4 linked regions of the Caenorhabditis elegans genome follow. Each later gene encodes a partner of the first gene's protein in a complex. Each region holds a gene or a part of one and is shown in the gene's direction. Other genes may lie near its edges. The genes, in order: arx-5, arx-1, C46H11.3 and arx-6.

Region 1 (4,215 bases):
AGACGGGGCATGGCACCACAGACATGTCAGGTGCTCCGTGACCCTTTGACCTCGTGAAAAAGATAAATATTTTCGCGTTTTCGTGGAGATCAAACCAATTGTTAGGTGCTTTAGAGTTTGATCGTCTTGTATTATTACAGGAACCCAAAATTCCGAAAATGCGCACTGCACAACATATTTGACGCGCAAAATATTTTTTACTGTATCTAGATATTTTGCGCGTCAAATATGTTGCGTGGTACGCATTTTCAGAATTTAGTCGTTCCGTAATAAAAGTGGAATTGCAAAAAAGTTCCAAAAAATAAAAAAATGAAATTTTTTATCATATTTCAGCTTAAAATCCGCCAGGGCCATTATCATTGGAGCGCGCCATGTCGCGTCGATTTACGAGAGATTTTGTTTGCAAATTTCAGTTTTTCAACAAGTTTTCTATATTTTTCGCGTTTTTTTAAGTGAAAATGTGAAATAATTTTATGATTTTTAAAATTTGAAAAAAAAAATTTTTCAACAAAAAAATCAAAGAAACTTGCAAATTTTAGTTTCTTTGATTTTTTTTTTTTGAAATATAATTTATTTCGTGTAAAGTGAACGAAACTTACTGATTTTTCAATTTTTAAAATAATAAAATACCCAAATTTACACGAAAAAACACATTTTAATTTAAAAAAACCGAAGAAAATGAAGAAAACTGGTTTAAAAAACCGAATTTGGCTGCAAAAAAACCCCTCGTAAATCGACATGGCATGGCGCGCTCCAATGAGAATTTTTCTGGCGCGAGTTTGAAAATTGTTTCGCGCTTTCAAGCTGAAATATAAGATTTTTGAAATTTTTTGAATTTTTTTAAAACAAAATATGGGAAATTTGGAGTAATTTGAAAATTTAAAAAATCAAAAAAATGATTTTTTTATTAAAAAAAAAAGTTTTTTTCAGGATTTCCAATGGCGTGCCGGCTGGGGTGTTCTCAAGGCCAATATGCTTTTCGTGTACAATAAAACCGAAGAGGAGACGTCGGCTCCTCCATTTTTACTACTAATTATTGAAGACTGTTTTATCGAATTATGTGATGAGAATAAGATTGGCAAGGATTTCACTTTTGAAATCAAATTCAAATCGTGCGTTTTTTCCGGGTCTCAACACGAAAAATTAATACTAAATTCCAAAAAAAAACTGAATTTTTATCGGTTTTATCGAAAATCGATGAAAAATCGATTGAAAATTCCTAAAATTATCCGATTTTTTTCCAGAACTGCTCGAAGCTTCATCTTCGCCGCCGACTCGTTCAAATCGCTGGGACGTTGGGTTTCGCTGCTCACAATCTCCCCGATCGACTATATACAGCTCTCGAAACAAAGTTTTCATGAGCAAATCGAGCAAACTCAGAAGAAAGCGATGAGGGATTGATTTTTATACATTTTGCACATTTTCACTGTGATATTTTGACTTATTGATTATAAATCATACATTTTTAACGTTTTTTGCTTTGTTTTGCAGCTGGAATTTCCCTGAATTTATCGTTTTTTTCGCAAAAAATCGCGAAATTTCATTAAAAATTTCCAAACGATGCTCCGATATTCCGATGTCGCGCCTTGTTTACCGTAAACTTACACGAGATTATTATTTATTTTTCCGTTCCTGGAGAGAATTTCATCAGAAAAAACGTTTAAAAAGCAGAAAATCTTTGATTTTTTCCAATTTTTCTTAAATATCTGATTATAGGAAACTTGTAAGCTGATATTAATCATATTAATTCCAAGTTTTCATATATTTTAACACGAATTTCCGAATAAAAGTGTATTTTCGGGTTTTACTTTAATTTTCGCGTCCGCAACGACATTATCGCTTCAAAAACTGCATTTTTATCGAATAAAATACTTATATTTTAATTTAAAACTCGAATTTCACAATTTATCGATTTTTTTTCGCAGCCGCAGTGACTCATTATGTACTTACCCCCCCCCCCCCTCGGGTATCCGAAAATAAGCCGTTTTCTATGCATTTTTCCAAACAAAACACTTATTTTTCAGTGAAATGCCGGCATACCACTCAAAATTCGACACTGAACTCAAAGTTTTGCCATTGGGCAACACAAATATGGGAAAACTTCCGATTCGAACCAATTTCAAGGGTCCAGCGCCTCGTAAGTCTTCAAAAATTGATTGAAAAAACCTATATTATATATTAAAATTATTGCAGAAACCAATCAGGATGACATCATCGACGAAGCGCTCACCTACTTCAAGCCGAACATCTTTTTCCGCGAATTTGAGGTTGATTTTCGAGATTTTTCCCTATTAAAATTGAGAAATTTTCAGATCAAAGGTCCCGCGGACCGTACAATGATCTATCTCATCTTCTACATCACCGAGTGCCTCAGAAAATTGCAAAAAGTACGGATTTTGCACGAAAAAAACCTACTTTTTAGATTGAAAAATAAGAAAAAAAGACCCAAACATACCGAATTTCAATGGATATTTTGAACATTCCTACCGAAAACAGATTTTTTTAAGTAGAAAATTTCAAATTCGAAACATTTTCGATTTTCTCTGAAAAAATCCCAAATTCTTTCAATTTTCTCTGAAAAATCCACAAATTTTAAGGTTTTCTCTGAAAAAATCGAATTTTTTTGGTTTTTCCCTGAAAAAAATCTAAAAATTGTTTAATATTCCCTGAAAATTCCAAAATTTTTCTGGTTTTCCCTGAAAAAATCCGAAAATTTTTCGATTTTCACTGAAAAAATCCGAAATTTTTCCGATTTTCTTCGGAGAAATCCAACTTTTTTTTTTCTCAAAATTTTGGAAATTATAAAAAAAAATTCTAGTTACAAAATTCGGTCTTTTCGGGCTATTTTGAGTGAAATAAAGCGTAAAAACATGTTTTTTTTTTGCAAATTTTTTCAAATTTTCAGAGCCCAAACAAGATAGCCGGCCAAAAGGATCTTCACGCCTTGGCTCTCAGTCATTTGCTTCCAATTCCCGGTGAAAATGGATTCCCACTGAACAGCATGTACAAGGCGCCCCAATCGAAACCGGACGAGGACGAAATGCGTGCCTATTTGCAACAAATTCGCCAAGAAATCGGCGCCCGTCTGTGTGATCTCGCGTTCCCGGATCCCCAAGATCGTCCGAGCAAGTGGTGGCTCTGTTTCGCGAGAAGACGATTCATGGACAAGGGGCTCGTTGGACAGGGTGTTAATTTGTGAATTATCGATTAATTATTGTTGTATCTGGCTCAAAATTTTTTCACTTTTCCCATTTTTTTTTCCATGTAATTATATTTATATTGCGTCCAGTTTTACTTTTTGTGCTGCTTTAAAATATTCATTAAAATTCCGATTTCATCATTTTATTACGGTAACGCAACATATTTTGCGCGCGTCAAATATGTTGTGCGCGAAATACGCGAAATCTCTATGCTCTACCGATAATTTGTCTGCTTGGATCCCATCACTGACAACAAAAACGCCACGGTATCGTGTACGACTTCTGGAGCAGTTATCTGGCAACGTGCCAAGTGACTTCGAACCTCTTCGGGAAGTTGGGAGACTGGAAGAGCCTGGAAATTGAGAAAAATTGAAAATTTTAAGATTTTCTCCGAGAAAATTGGAAAATAGTCGAATTTTTTTCAGAAAACCCCAAATATAGGCCTTTTTTATTAGAAAATCGAAAAATTTTCAGGTTTTTTCAAATAAAATCGGGAAAAAAACTATTAATTTCCCGTAATTTTCCAAGATTTCCGTCTTAAAGGCGCACAGATTTGTTCAGATGGGTCTCGGCGCGCAAAAAAGTTTATGGTACTTTTTTTTCTTTTTTCCTGTTAAAAATTGTTTTAAATCAGTTTTTTTGCCGTTTTCCAGTCAGAGAATGAATAAAAATTGATTTAAACAGTTTTTAACAAAAAAATAAAAAAGAAAAACCACCATAAACTTTTTGCGCGCCGAGACCCAGTTGAATTTACCTGTGCGCCTTTAAGAAGGAATTTTAAAATATTGCGAAATTATTTTATTTGAATAATTGCTGATTTTTTATTCAGAAGAGAAGGAAATTTCAATTTTTTTTGTTGGAAAAATAAATAAAATTTTTTTTTTTTGATTTTTCAACACTTACAGCCATTCTTTCCAAATCCTGAGGGCTAAATGAGCCCATCGCTTTGCTCAATGAAGCATCCGGGTCTGTTGCAGAAAGAGCAGTGGTGAGAGAAGCTTTCGCAGATGTTAGA
Region 2 (5,081 bases), on another chromosome or scaffold:
TGATGAGCATAATCCATTCGTCGTGTGCTCTCGTCAATTTGTGCCTCTTTACCGTGGACGTCCACTCTGTAAATGCCCGTATTGTGGAGCATCGTACTCTGAAGGGCTCGAGGGAGAAGTGTGCAACGTGTGCCAGGTTGCAGAAGTTGGAAAGAATGTTCTTGGGCTCCGAATCTCAACTCTGAAGAGCTAAAAGTTGTGAAATATGATAATTTTTTCGTTTTTTGTGTGATATTAATTATTGTAATTTATTTGCCTTGTTCTTCCACAATTCCCATTGCTTTTGGTCCCTTCATATTATTTTCCCGTTGGGCGGCGGTTCATGTTTTCTATTTAAATTATGTGTTTTTAAAAATTATTTAAACCCCACAGAAAGATTATGATTGCATGCTGGTCTATTTTATTTGAATAAATCATGATTTTTTTACTTTTTTTCATTTATCTTTGGGGTAAGAAAATGTTCTCTAAATCAGTAATTTACATGGAGAAATTTGCTCGAAAAAATTCAAAAAAAATACAGTAAGAAAATTGTCGTAAAGTCTAGGGTTTTGGTATTGCGGACTACGACAAAATGCACACAAACCATTTTGGCACCGGAAAAAGGCAAAAGCCAGGATTTTATCGCGTTTTGGCTCATTTTTCTTGCAAATTTCCATGGAATTCAGTTAACATATACCTAATTATTCAGTTATTTCGAATTAATCAATAATTTTCAGTGAATTTCGCAATTTCTAAGTGGTCCAATGATGTCTGTCCACATATTTCCTTGAAAACTGATTGTTTTATCGGAATTTATTGATTTAAAATAATATATATAATAAAATCTGAATTTTAGAATCATTTTTGACGTGGAAAAGACCCGAAAAATCCAAAAATCACGAATAAACTGAACAATTAAGGTATTAATTTTTGATCCCCCACCCCCAGTTTCTCAGTTTCTCAGCAAAGGATTAAAACAATTGTTCTTCTTCTTTTCCCCCTACAAGAATTTCCTGTGAATTTCAATCGTAAAAATATCGATTTTCTGTTTATTCTTTGGATGAGTCACCGCACTCGCCGATTGTTTAACTAGTGCAGTTCGGCAGTTTTACGTTATTTTTTCACGATTTTTTGGATTCTGATCCTCTAGGTGACTTGAAAATACCGAATTTCATATCGTAATATGACAGAAAAATTTATGGCGGTAAAAAAATGCGGAAAAATTTTCTAATTTTAACGGAAAACTCCAAAAAGCCGTTGGAAAATGATTTTTATTTGATATTGGCATATTTAAATAATTTTTATCCTGTTTTTTAGTGGATTTGGATATTTTAACCCGATAGTTATGTATAACGGCTTAAAAATTGCCAAAATCAGCGAAAAAACGCGAGAAAAATCACTTAAATATGGAAAATAGAACAATAATCAAATAAACCCGATTATCCAAGCCAAAACTGAGTTTTTTTTTTCGCATTTTTGAACTTCAAAATTTCGAAAAAATGGGCTATTTTTAACGAAAATCCCCAATTTTGCAATTTTTTCGTGTCACAGCCGTCGGAAATTGATTTTTATTTGATTTTTGACACATTTGAGTGATTTTATCCTTTTTTTTTCGTGGATTTAGGTACTTTTAGCCGATAGTTACGTATTGCTAAAATACTGGCTTAATAAGTAGCTAAATCGACGAAAAAATATGTTTTAAAAAACCAAAAATGGCAAAATTTTACGATTTTTGCTAAATCTTTTTTTTTTTTGAAATTTTAAATCGTCATAAAATTATTTAGCTAAATTTTTGTTAAACATTTCAGCGAAAAACTCCATTTTTGCCAATTTTTTGTGTCACAGCGGTTGAAAATTGCGTTAATTTAGGTATATTTGAAGCCAAAAAAGGAACAAAATTAATTTATTTGCAAAATTATCAATTTCCGGCTTAAAAACGCTCCAAGATTGGAGATTTCAGCGGAAATTAGCCCATTTTTTCGAATTTCTAAACCGCTAGACTGAAATTCCGTCTTTTTCTCCCATTTAAAACAAAAAAAATCCCAAATTTTTTGCAGCAAGCATGTCGGCCCATCAACTACCGGCATGTGTGATCGACAATGGAACGGGTTATACGAAGCTCGGATATGCTGGGAACACGGAACCTCAGTTTATTATTCCATCTGGTTAGATTTATTGATTTTCAGCCTATTTTTCATAAAATCCAGTGAATTTTCCAGCAATTGCCGTGAAGGACAAGGTGGCGAGCTCGAATTCGCAGGCGATGCGCTGGAATAACCGAGTCGGAGCCGGGATAGACGATCTTGATTTCTTTATTGGAGATGAAGCTTTGTCGCCGGCCGCTACGAATTATACTGTCAAAGTTCGTAGTTAATAGACCATATTTATGCTCCTGATGTCAAATATCAATGTGAAATTTTTTTTTTTAATTCCCAGATTTTATATAATTTTTTAAAATCCAAAAATCCTAATTTTAAATTTAAACGACAAAATTTTGCATGATAACCGTGCCGCAGGTGTGGATTTACGAGATTAATATTTTTAATTCATTTTTATTTAATTTTCACACCGATTTTCCCGTTTTTTCGTTGTTATACATTGAAATTCTTGGGATTTTCATAAATTTATTCATAAATTTACTTTTTATTAATGAAAACAAATTAAATTACAAGAAATATCGAACTTTTGCTGAAAAAATCGAATATTTCACGTATTTTTGTTGTTTTCATTAATAAAAAGTCATAAATTAATGGAAATCATGATAATTTTAATGTAAAACAAGGAAAAATCGGGAAAATCGGTGTGAAAATTAAATAAAAATGAATGAAAAATATTAGTCTCGTAAATCCACACATGCGGCACGGTTATCATGCAAAATTTGTCGTTTCTGAATTTAACATTTTGGACTTTTGGATTAAAAAAAATATAATTTTTTATAAAATCGGGAATTTTATTTTTTGAATTTTTCACATTGATATTAGGTATCAGGAGCATATGGAAAAAATGTTTAAAATTAAAATTAAATTTTTTAGTATCCAATTCGGCATGGAATCGTCGAAGACTGGGATCTTATGGAACGATACTGGGAGCAGTGCATTTTCAAATACTTGAGAGCCGAGCCAGAGGATCATTTCTTCCTTTTGGTACGGGAGAGAAGCAGAAAATTCGGGAAAAAATGCTCTGGAACAATATTTTGGCCACTTTTAAAAGAAAAGGGGGTCGAAAATCCGTTTTTTTAATAGAAAATATCCTGTAAAATGGATGTAAATCGGTGAAAAGCTATATATTACAGAAAAAACACGTGAAAAGTGATAAATTTCGATGAAAAAAGCTTAAAAATCACGAAATTTTGCAATTTTTGACTCTAAAATTACGGTATCCGGTCTTGACAGGACAATTTTTTTGGAAATAAAGCATGTGATACCAATTTAAAAAATACGTAAAAATTTTGAAAAAAACGGGAGAAAAATCAAGGAATTTCCCCCGAAAACTCCGGTATTTTTAAGCTTTATTAATTAAAATTAATTAAATGAAAAATCTACATTTTTTCAAAAAAATAGCAAAAAAAATTTTTTTTCGTATTAAAATCCTAATTTTATAGGAAAAGCTGTTTTTTTGAAGATATGGCTTTAATTTTCTATTTAAAAAATCGTTTTTTTTTTCTGGAAATTTACAAAATTTTGTTTCTAATTTTTTTTAAAGTAAGGGTCCCGCCACGATCTACCTGAGCTTCAACTTTCAGGCTTAAAGTTGGTGTAGTCGAATTTTTTTTTTGCTTTATTAGAATCAAAATTGTCTAAAAACACCGAATTTCATAATGAAACTTCTTGAAAAAAAACAGTTATGACGGTTCAAAAAATCGGCTAAAATTAGTTAAAATTTGAAATTTGGCCTTTTGAAATTACCGTCAAATTTTAGATATATAAGTTTATTATCGTGCGTTTTCAACTCGATTTAGGTATTTTAAAGTCGGTGGACTTGGAGATTTGGTAATAAAAATTTAAAAATCTCCAAGTCCACCGGCTTTAAAATACCTAAATCGAGTTGAAAACGCACAATAATCAACTTATATATCTAAAATTTGACGGTAATTTCAAAAGGCCAAATTTCAAATTTTAACTGTTTTAGGCCATTTTTTTGGAGCCGCCATAACTTTTTTTTTGAGAAGTTTTCAATTCATTATGAAATTCGGTGTTTTCAGACAATTTTTGAGTCTAATAAAGCAATTTTTTTTTTAAAAATCGACTACACCACCTTTAAATAGCGAATATTAGGCAGTTTTCCACGAAAAAATTTGAAAATTTCCAGACGGAACCACCACTCAACACTCCGGAAAACCGAGAATATACTGCTGAAATTATGTTCGAGTCGTTCAACGTGCCAGGCTTGTACATAGCCGTTCAGGCCGTCCTAGCGTTGACTGCCAGCTGGAATTCCAGAGAAGCCAACGAGCGAAGCTTGACTGGATTGGTAGGAAATTTTTTCGCTTTTGAGAAAAAAAAATTTTTATTATTTTATTTGTCACTTATTAAATAGCCAAAAATGCAAATTAATACCAGCAAAAACATGAAAAATATAATGAAAAACGACAATTTACACATTCCCGACAATGATGGATACTTGTTCCCGTCTACTTCGGCTTCTCCTGCAACTGCAAAAAAATCGAATTGCTCCTCACCATCAAGCGCTCCGAATCCCAAAATATCCTCATCGAAACTCGAAACCTCGCGGAGCAACACAGGCAGCTCTTGCAGCCAGAAACTTCCAGTTTTCCGTGGATCTTGCTCCAAATGCGTCAGAAATAGATGCCAAATTTGGCGGAATCTCTCCTTTTCGGCTTGTCGGCGGTTCGCATTTTCTAGCTGCTCATGATCTTCGGCTTCAGCGTGGAAAGCGGTTCTGAGTGCTTCTTCGTCGATTTTCGGGATGTACGCAGAAATTGCCATGTCGAGTAGAGAGTGTGGGAGACTGAGAGGGACAGGGAGAGATGACGTGGATTCTGGTGTACCGACGACGATCGATAATGTTTTCGAGGTACCTGTGTACCATCTGCCGTCTCTGCTAGCAATTGCATAACACGCAAGAAAAACGCCAAAAATAAT
Region 3 (3,491 bases), on another chromosome or scaffold:
CAAATTAGAGCTCCAGCTGTGTACCTGACTTCCGCAGTGCTCAAAGCTTTAATCTTTATAAAACATATGTTTTTCCATCCAATTCATGGGTATATTTAGAATTCTAAATGTTAACATAACAAGTTTTCTTCAAACCCTAAACTCTTCAACATCGCATTTATTTCCAGAGGCTCGAAGGCGCATTGGAGAAAAACTTCAAAAAAGTACGAACAGTTGAAGATGTCACAACTACATTTATGGACTTCTTTGGAACTCAAAGAAGCCGTGTAAGACAACAATTAATTGAACGACTGAAATCAATGCGAAAAGCCATCGAACATTCATCATTCTTCAATTCACATGAAGTCGTCGGAAGCAGTATTCTGATTGTTTTTGATACGGAAAAAGTGGGATGCTGGATGATTGACTTTGCAAAGAGTTCACCGGTTCCTAATGGACGAACACTAAACCATCGGACGACGTGGATACCTGGGAATAATGAAGATGGGTATTTGATAGGAATCGATAATTTAGTCAAGGTAAGCTTGGTTTTCTTAGAATTTTTTATTTAAATATTATTAATGTAGCACCTTACTATTAAACTCAGTTGCCTTTTGTCCTATACAAAAATTGTTAACGGAAAAATATTGGAAAGTGTTTCATATTGTTTTAAAATTTTTTAAAGCAAAAATAAAGTAGTGGGATTTAATACTATTAGAGAATATTCGGTAACTAATATAGATAAGAGGTGCGGAAAATCAATTTATATATTTTCAAATTCTTGACACTATATTTATTTTTCTTTTGAATTTGAGTTTATTTAACTAAAAGAAGAGAAATAAACAAATAAAACGAGACGAACCCTAAAAGAGTTCAACTCGAGTAAAAGTTACATAAAAAAAGAAAGAAAAGATAATAGGGAACAGGTGAAACGGGGAGAAAAACGAGAATGGAGGTAAAAGTGTAGTTATAACCGGGGGATGTTGAGATCAATAAATTCACAGAACTGATATGGGGACATAAAAACCGTAACATTTTTGAATAAATTGGAAAAAATATTGGAAAGTGTTTCATATTGTTTTAAAATTTTTTAAAGCAAAAATAAAGTAGTGGGATTTAATACTATTAGAGAATATTCGGTAACTAATATAGATAAGAGGTGCGGAAAATCAATTTATATATTTTCAAATTCTTGACACTATATTTATTTTTCTTCTCATAAATTTTAAATGTTACCAAGTAGTTGAATTATAATTCAAATATTTTCAGATTCTCGAAGAACTCCCCGAGTACGGAGAACATCCTGATGACCAGTTAATGGTCACAGAGGAAGTGATTGCCAGAATGAAAAATACGAAATCGTAGAAGCTTCTACCTCCTTGGATTACTGTAGATAGATGAAAGTGTGTGTCTCTTCATATTCCGCCATAATAATTTCTGTGATTCCCCACCGCTCCTCCACAAAATCCTCATCCGTGTACAATTTGCTATTATTCAATTTTACACCCCCTCCAGCCAGTCCTTGTTTTTGTTGGTTTTTTGAAAAAGAAAATAGATTTTTTGAAAAAGAAAATAGATTTTCACTTTTTAATCTATCGCTTTCCCCTTCTCTTTTCCTTTACCATGGCATAATCCCTAGACTTTCTTCTTACTTTCAGTTGTTTTTTTTGTTCCATTGTGTACGATCCGAGTAATGGATTAATTGATTGGGTACAATTTGTATATTTTTATTCTCAAATGAAGAGAAATTTTTGAAATGTCCAGTTGCAATTTAGATCCAAACAACAATCTATTGAAGTCTTTGCTTTAAAAGCTAGAGCAGGTGCAATTGTTCCCAGTGCATATCGGCCGATTGCCTAGTGAAAAGTACTAGGCAAAACAAAAAACTTATGGCAATTATTTGGGGATTAAAAGAAAATTGTTCAGAAACAAGAATCTATGAAATTTGGTATGCAGCAGAACAAACGTTTTCGAATTTCACAAAAGAGTGGACAATTGGTGCTCTTATTCAAAATTTCAAAGAGACTTCAAAAAAGCTTTCTTATATCATTTTTTAGGTTTTCATTCAGAAATGTTTTTCTATTGTAGATAATGTACAACACTGACTATAAAAAGTACAATGTTGATATTTTTCATCCAGCTCATTTTGAAGATATTCAGGAAGGTTAGTCAATCTGAATTCAATAATTAATTTTTGAATAAATAATAATATTTCAATAAATAATTTTTGAAAATTTTTTCAGAATCTGCAGATTGTGGGCCAAATGTGCAAGAGGTTCGGCAATTTCTGGAGTCAAATCGACTTGAATATGCTCTTCAATCCGTTCTCTTAAACCCACCATTTGGTCATTCTGAACAGGTTTTATTTTTTAATGTCATTTTGCAAACCTCTTTCCCTTTTAGGAACTCAAGAACCGTGCTGTTCTCCTTGTGGCCGAGGTTATTCATGCATTTCGACAGACCGATATTGAAGAATCAGTTCACAAGCTGTCAAATGAAAATGGAGACATTCTGATGAAGTATATTTACAAAGCAATGCAACTATGCTCTGATTCTGCCACGTGTCTTTCTCTACTATTGTGGCATTCTCAATTGGTATCAAAATTTGGGCAGGGATCCATTGTTCGAGTGTTGTCCAATCGACAACGTCTCTAATTTTTTAATGAAGGTACATGTATCTGTTAATTTCTGCAATAAAACTCCAAGATCCAAAGTTTTTTATATGAAGAAGTTCAAATTTACAACAACCAAATATATTAGGAAATAAATAAAATGATTCAAGAAAAAATGAAGATTATCCAGAAGTGCAGAATCCGCAAGTGAGTGGGCATTGAGCTCTCATAAGGGTTGCGTAGGCAGAATTGGTACAGAATGCACGACGGTTTGGACAATCGGAGACTCCTGTAGCTGCGTTGACTTGGTCAACACAGGTGGCTGAAAAGTTCAGACATGGAACGTTATGAACAATTATTAATCTTACTTGAAGCTGTTGTGGAGGAAGATGAAGTTACGGTAGAGCTTGAGTTACATCTTCCACAAGTTCTTGGGCATTGTTGAGTCATGACGGCATAGTAGACTGAATCATTGCACAAAGAAGCTCGTGCAGTACAATCAGAAACTCCGGTGGATGGGTTTACAAGATCGGCACAGCTAGTGGAGCTTGTGGTAGTTGAGTTACAACGACCGCATGTTCTTGGACATTGTTGAGTCATGACTGTGTAGTAGGTGGTGTCGTTGCAAAGATAGGCAAGTGCTGGACAATCAGAGACCCCGGTAGATGGATTGAGGCGATCAGCACACGAAGTTGTAGAGGTTGAGGTTACTGTAACTGCTGAAGCAGTTGTGGTTACTGTAGATCCATCAGAATCTGTTACCACAGCAGCAGTGGTTGAAGTCACAAGGGGAACGGCTAAAAATCATAGGTCACGGTTGAAAGAACCTTGTTGACTTACTGGTTACAGGACAACATTGACCAGCTGCCACATCACAGACCTGTGTCTGGCACACAAGAA
Region 4 (3,744 bases), 7.9 Mb from region 1:
AAAGGGTTGAAGGAAATGTCACATCGGATTAGGATTTAAATAAAAGAAGATTGAAAATCAAAAAATTCATAGAATAGAAATTTCAGACTTACTATAGTCGATTTACCAATTCATAGATGGAGGTCTCAAAATGCGCATAACTGGGAAGTATATTTTGAGTTCAACATATTTTTACAAAAATGGACATATTTCAAAAATATCATTGCAGTAAGAAATTCGTAAAGTAAATTTGTTTATGGAATTTTCTACCTCAAAAACTGCCTAATTCTGATATTTTTTTTAATTCTTCCATATCTAAATATTTTAATTCATACAGCTCAAAAATTTCGGCTTCTCCGTAGCCTATTCCCAAGTGTTTTATGCACCTCCGTATCACACCACCATGTTGTAAGTCGCTACTCAGTCGATTTACCAATTGAGAGGTTGAATGCTTAAAATGCACATATTTCAGAACAGTCTTTTCCCTAGGAAATTTCAAATTTTATCTGATGTTCAGATCGTAGCACATGCTCTTTTGATCGGTTATTATTCATTCGGGGATTGACTGAGGATCTTTAGATTCTTTCTCACTTTCAGGTAGACTTCCTCGCGGCTTCGGCTCCGGTAGTAGTAGTTTACATATCAGGATTTTCAACACTTTTGTATTCCGACACTATTCCACTGGAAAATTCACTTATTGTGCATTTTTGGCAAAATTCTACAAGTTTCAAGGGAGACGCGCTTATACAAAAGGGTCTCGCCGCGGGAATCGTATTTATTAAAGATACTTGGTTTAAATGTCTTCTTACGTTAACAGAAGATTATTTTTAATATGTTTTTCTCGCGGCGAGACCCCTACACACATATGCTCTGTCCTTTGAACTTAAATGTTACTCTTTTCGTTTCAATACCAAATGCGCAATAAATCCCGCATTGAAGCATAGCGTTCTCCCATTACTTCTGCTCCCATTTCAGTTATTTTTTATGCCAATCTTGAAATTATTGCGTGCTCAAACGAAAATCAAACAAGCACTTACTTTGAACGATTTACTTATCGAAGGAATACCACAGAAAATCGTAGGATAAGATTATGAAAATTTGCACTGAAGTTCATGGGTGTGGGAAAACGAGGGAAATTATAACACTTAAAGAAGAAAAGGGCTGCTCAAAAATTGTGAGAAAAATACATAAATTTTGGAAAATGAATTTTGCAATTTATGGAAAAATTAAACGGATTGAAGAATGCTTCTGGTGATTTCTTGAATGTAGATATCCGAGCTGGTGAGCTTCTTCTCATCAGTAGAGGACGGCTTCAAAACAGCTTTCTTGGTCGGTGCATTCTCCTTGTCCTCCTCTTCGAAAACTTTCTCCGGTGAATTGACAATTGGATTTTTTGCGAGATAGTTCTGAAACATAACCAGGTTCTCATAAAATCTCAAAGTTTCATTTTTTAAGGAAAACATTAAGAGTTGTGTTAATATCAGTGCTTTGATTAAAAGTTCGAATAGTCTAAATAATTACCTCCACAAATTCCTTTTTCGAATTCAAGTTCCGGTCGTGAACGACAAAGAAGACATCAGAATCGTTTTTGACAGTCTCTGGCTCAGTGGCTTGAATAGTGTACCCCTTTTCTGGAAGACAACTATGTTATTATGATTCAAAAATGCTTGAAAACATTTACCGAGAACTCCGAAGCGCTCATTCAATGTGATTCGTTTATTTGTCGCAGTTTTGTACTTGTTTTCCAGAATCGACGCCACTTTGTTGCTGTGCTCACGGTCAGCTAAAGGAATAACTTGATATTGGATGGCAGTAGTCATTCTGAAAGGTTTAAATTTTTAAATTTTACTGAAAACGCAAAATATTTTGCAAAATGGGAAAGTGGAATGATTGAAAATCAGAAAATTAATTTTAAAATTGACAATTTTTAAAAGAATGGATGATAAATTTGTCTTCGCGCGCTACTCGAAACAAAAAGTGCAGCGGAGCGTGTTTGCATTACTTTCAAAACGACGCAAATAATGATTCATTTTCGGATTATCGACTCCAATTTTACGATTTTCGCCGGTATTTCATGTTTTATTTTGTTCCATGCAATCTTTTTTCACTTCTAAATAATGTCTCAAACTGTTTCGTCAATAAAAAAATCAATAAGCATGCGCATTGCAGGTAATGAGCGCAACACTCCAACCATATCTGGAGGCCGTGCGTCACACGCTCCAGGCAGCTCTCTGTCTTGAGCAATTCAGTTCGCAGGTGGTCGAGAGACACAACAAACCAGAAGTAAGATTTATAACAGTAAAATGACTTGCAAAGTGTGAAGATTGAATAATTTAAATCAGTCCGCCGCCAATTGCAATAGTTTTTCGCTCAAAAACTATTTAAATGTATTATTCTATTTGTATATTATAATAAAATTGTAGGTGGAAGTTCAAACATCGAAAGAACTGCTCATGACGCCAGTTGTTGTTGCTCGAAACAAACAGGAACGAGTACTCATCGAACCCTCCGTCAATTCTGTCAGAATATCAATCGCCATCAAACAATCCGACGAAATCGAGAAGATTCTGTGCCACAAGTTCACTCGATTCATGTGCCAAAGAGCCGATAACTTCTTTGTGCTCCGTCGCAAGCCACTGCCAGGTCAGAATTAATACTAATATTCAGAGATTAAAGCGATAATTTTAGGTTATGACATCTCGTTCCTCATCACAGCATCTCACACAGAAGCAATGTTCAAGCACAAACTTGTCGACTTTTTGCTTCATTTTATGCAGGAAATTGATAAGGTGAACATTTTAAGTTAATTTTTAAAAAATTCCATAAATTTCCAGGAAATTTCCGAGATGAAGCTGTCTCTCAACGCCCGTGCCCGTGTTTCTGCTGAAGAATTTTTGAAGCGTTTCAATTAATTTTCTCCCCATGATTCCCAATTCATTTTTCTCATTTTCACTCAAATTCCGAAGACTTTAAACTATTATGTGAACACGGTTTTTTGATCAATTTGTGTAAATATCATCTTTATTCTCAATTTTTTCACTTTTTGTTTCTGAAAATGACTCCCCTCCCAAAAATTTCCTGTTTTAGGTCCTATTTTGCCTTTTTGATTATCGATTTTTTTTACCGCACACTGACTTTATGAATTATTTATTCAATTTTTGCAATATGTATGATCTGAAATATCTCGTGAAACATTTACGAGCTTTAATATTTTAAAATGATTATTAAGTTGGAAATTGACAAATCAATTTCAGAAATGAAGTCTATTCTACTTTTATTCTCCCTGATAGTGCTCGGCAGTGCAACAGAAGAAGTGAGCAGAACTGAGCAAACATCGACATTATTCTCCGTCGAAGGCGAGGTTCGTATACCAAAAATGTTTGATTTTTGGATTAAAAATATCGATCATTTTGGCTATATTCATAGAGAAGTCATATTATAAATTAAGACAACGTTTATATGCTTCTGAATACTTTTTCCAGTTCTCACATTTTTTAAAATTTTATCTTCTAGGTTCCTATTCTAATAACAACAAATTCGTTGTAAATTAAATATTTCATAGTCCTCAAAAAAAAAATTTCAGATCGCACTTCCATCTACTCGAAATTGTGCAAAATGGTCCGCAGGTGCTCGTATTCATTTGAACCATGGCCAATATATGGGATTTGTTCGTCAAGATTGTACATTCCGTGTTGATTTCGTGCCTACTGGAACCTATATTGTTCAAATCGAAAATACAGATTTTGTCTTTGAGCCAATTCGCGT

What was found.
Region 2: arx-5 (region 1) and arx-1 share a complex: the UniProt entries of both Caenorhabditis elegans proteins name them as parts of the arp2/3 complex.
Region 3: arx-5 (region 1) and C46H11.3 share a complex: the UniProt entries of both Caenorhabditis elegans proteins name them as parts of the arp2/3 complex.
Region 4: arx-5 (region 1) and arx-6 share a complex: the UniProt entries of both Caenorhabditis elegans proteins name them as parts of the arp2/3 complex.

The regions. Positions count from the first base shown.
Region 1 is NC_003281.10:12,815,910-12,820,124, reverse strand, and holds arx-5 (putative actin-related protein 2/3 complex subunit 3), read left to right. Parts: upstream 1-2,024; 5' UTR 2,025-2,028; coding exon 2,029-2,137; intron 2,138-2,193; coding exon 2,194-2,267; intron 2,268-2,312; coding exon 2,313-2,387; intron 2,388-2,905; coding exon 2,906-3,199; 3' UTR 3,200-3,336; downstream 3,337-4,215. Other genes in the region: Y37D8A.25 (PH domain-containing protein), read left to right, coding at 931-1,112, 1,245-1,401; BE10.4 (DUF148 domain-containing protein), read right to left, coding at 3,415-3,552, 4,104-4,215. UniProt on the Caenorhabditis elegans protein: Functions as a component of the Arp2/3 complex which is involved in regulation of actin polymerization and together with an activating nucleation-promoting factor (NPF) mediates the formation of branched actin networks.
Region 2 is NC_003279.8:2,890,674-2,895,754, reverse strand, and holds the start of arx-1 (Actin-related protein 3), read left to right. Parts: upstream 1-2,036; 5' UTR 2,037-2,041; coding exon 2,042-2,144; intron 2,145-2,198; coding exon 2,199-2,341; intron 2,342-3,011; coding exon 3,012-3,122; intron 3,123-4,287; coding exon 4,288-4,449; intron 4,450-4,493; coding exon of another isoform or gene 4,494-5,081. Other genes in the region: copa-1 (Coatomer subunit alpha), read left to right, coding at 1-193; Y71F9AL.6 (Protein PBN1), read right to left, coding at 4,494-5,081. UniProt on the Caenorhabditis elegans protein: Functions as ATP-binding component of the Arp2/3 complex which is involved in regulation of actin polymerization and together with an activating nucleation-promoting factor (NPF) mediates the formation of branched actin networks.
Region 3 is NC_003279.8:5,039,422-5,042,912, forward strand, and holds C46H11.3 (putative actin-related protein 2/3 complex subunit 5), read left to right. Parts: upstream 1-1,948; 5' UTR 1,949-2,070; coding exon 2,071-2,143; intron 2,144-2,222; coding exon 2,223-2,338; intron 2,339-2,382; coding exon 2,383-2,634; 3' UTR 2,635-2,671; downstream 2,672-3,491. Other genes in the region: lfe-2 (Inositol-trisphosphate 3-kinase homolog), read left to right, coding at 168-518, 1,249-1,344; C46H11.7 (ShKT domain-containing protein), read right to left, coding at 2,774-2,913, 2,960-3,388, 3,432-3,491. UniProt on the Caenorhabditis elegans protein: Functions as a component of the Arp2/3 complex which is involved in regulation of actin polymerization and together with an activating nucleation-promoting factor (NPF) mediates the formation of branched actin networks.
Region 4 is NC_003281.10:4,876,512-4,880,255, forward strand, and holds arx-6 (putative actin-related protein 2/3 complex subunit 4), read left to right. Parts: upstream 1-2,146; 5' UTR 2,147-2,151; coding exon 2,152-2,262; intron 2,263-2,402; coding exon 2,403-2,622; intron 2,623-2,667; coding exon 2,668-2,768; intron 2,769-2,813; coding exon 2,814-2,891; 3' UTR 2,892-3,132; downstream 3,133-3,744. Other genes in the region: Protein tost-1, read right to left, coding at 1,206-1,385, 1,501-1,610, 1,661-1,799; C35D10.1 (ER membrane protein complex subunit 7 homolog), read left to right, coding at 3,236-3,340, 3,563-3,744. UniProt on the Caenorhabditis elegans protein: Functions as actin-binding component of the Arp2/3 complex which is involved in regulation of actin polymerization and together with an activating nucleation-promoting factor (NPF) mediates the formation of branched actin networks.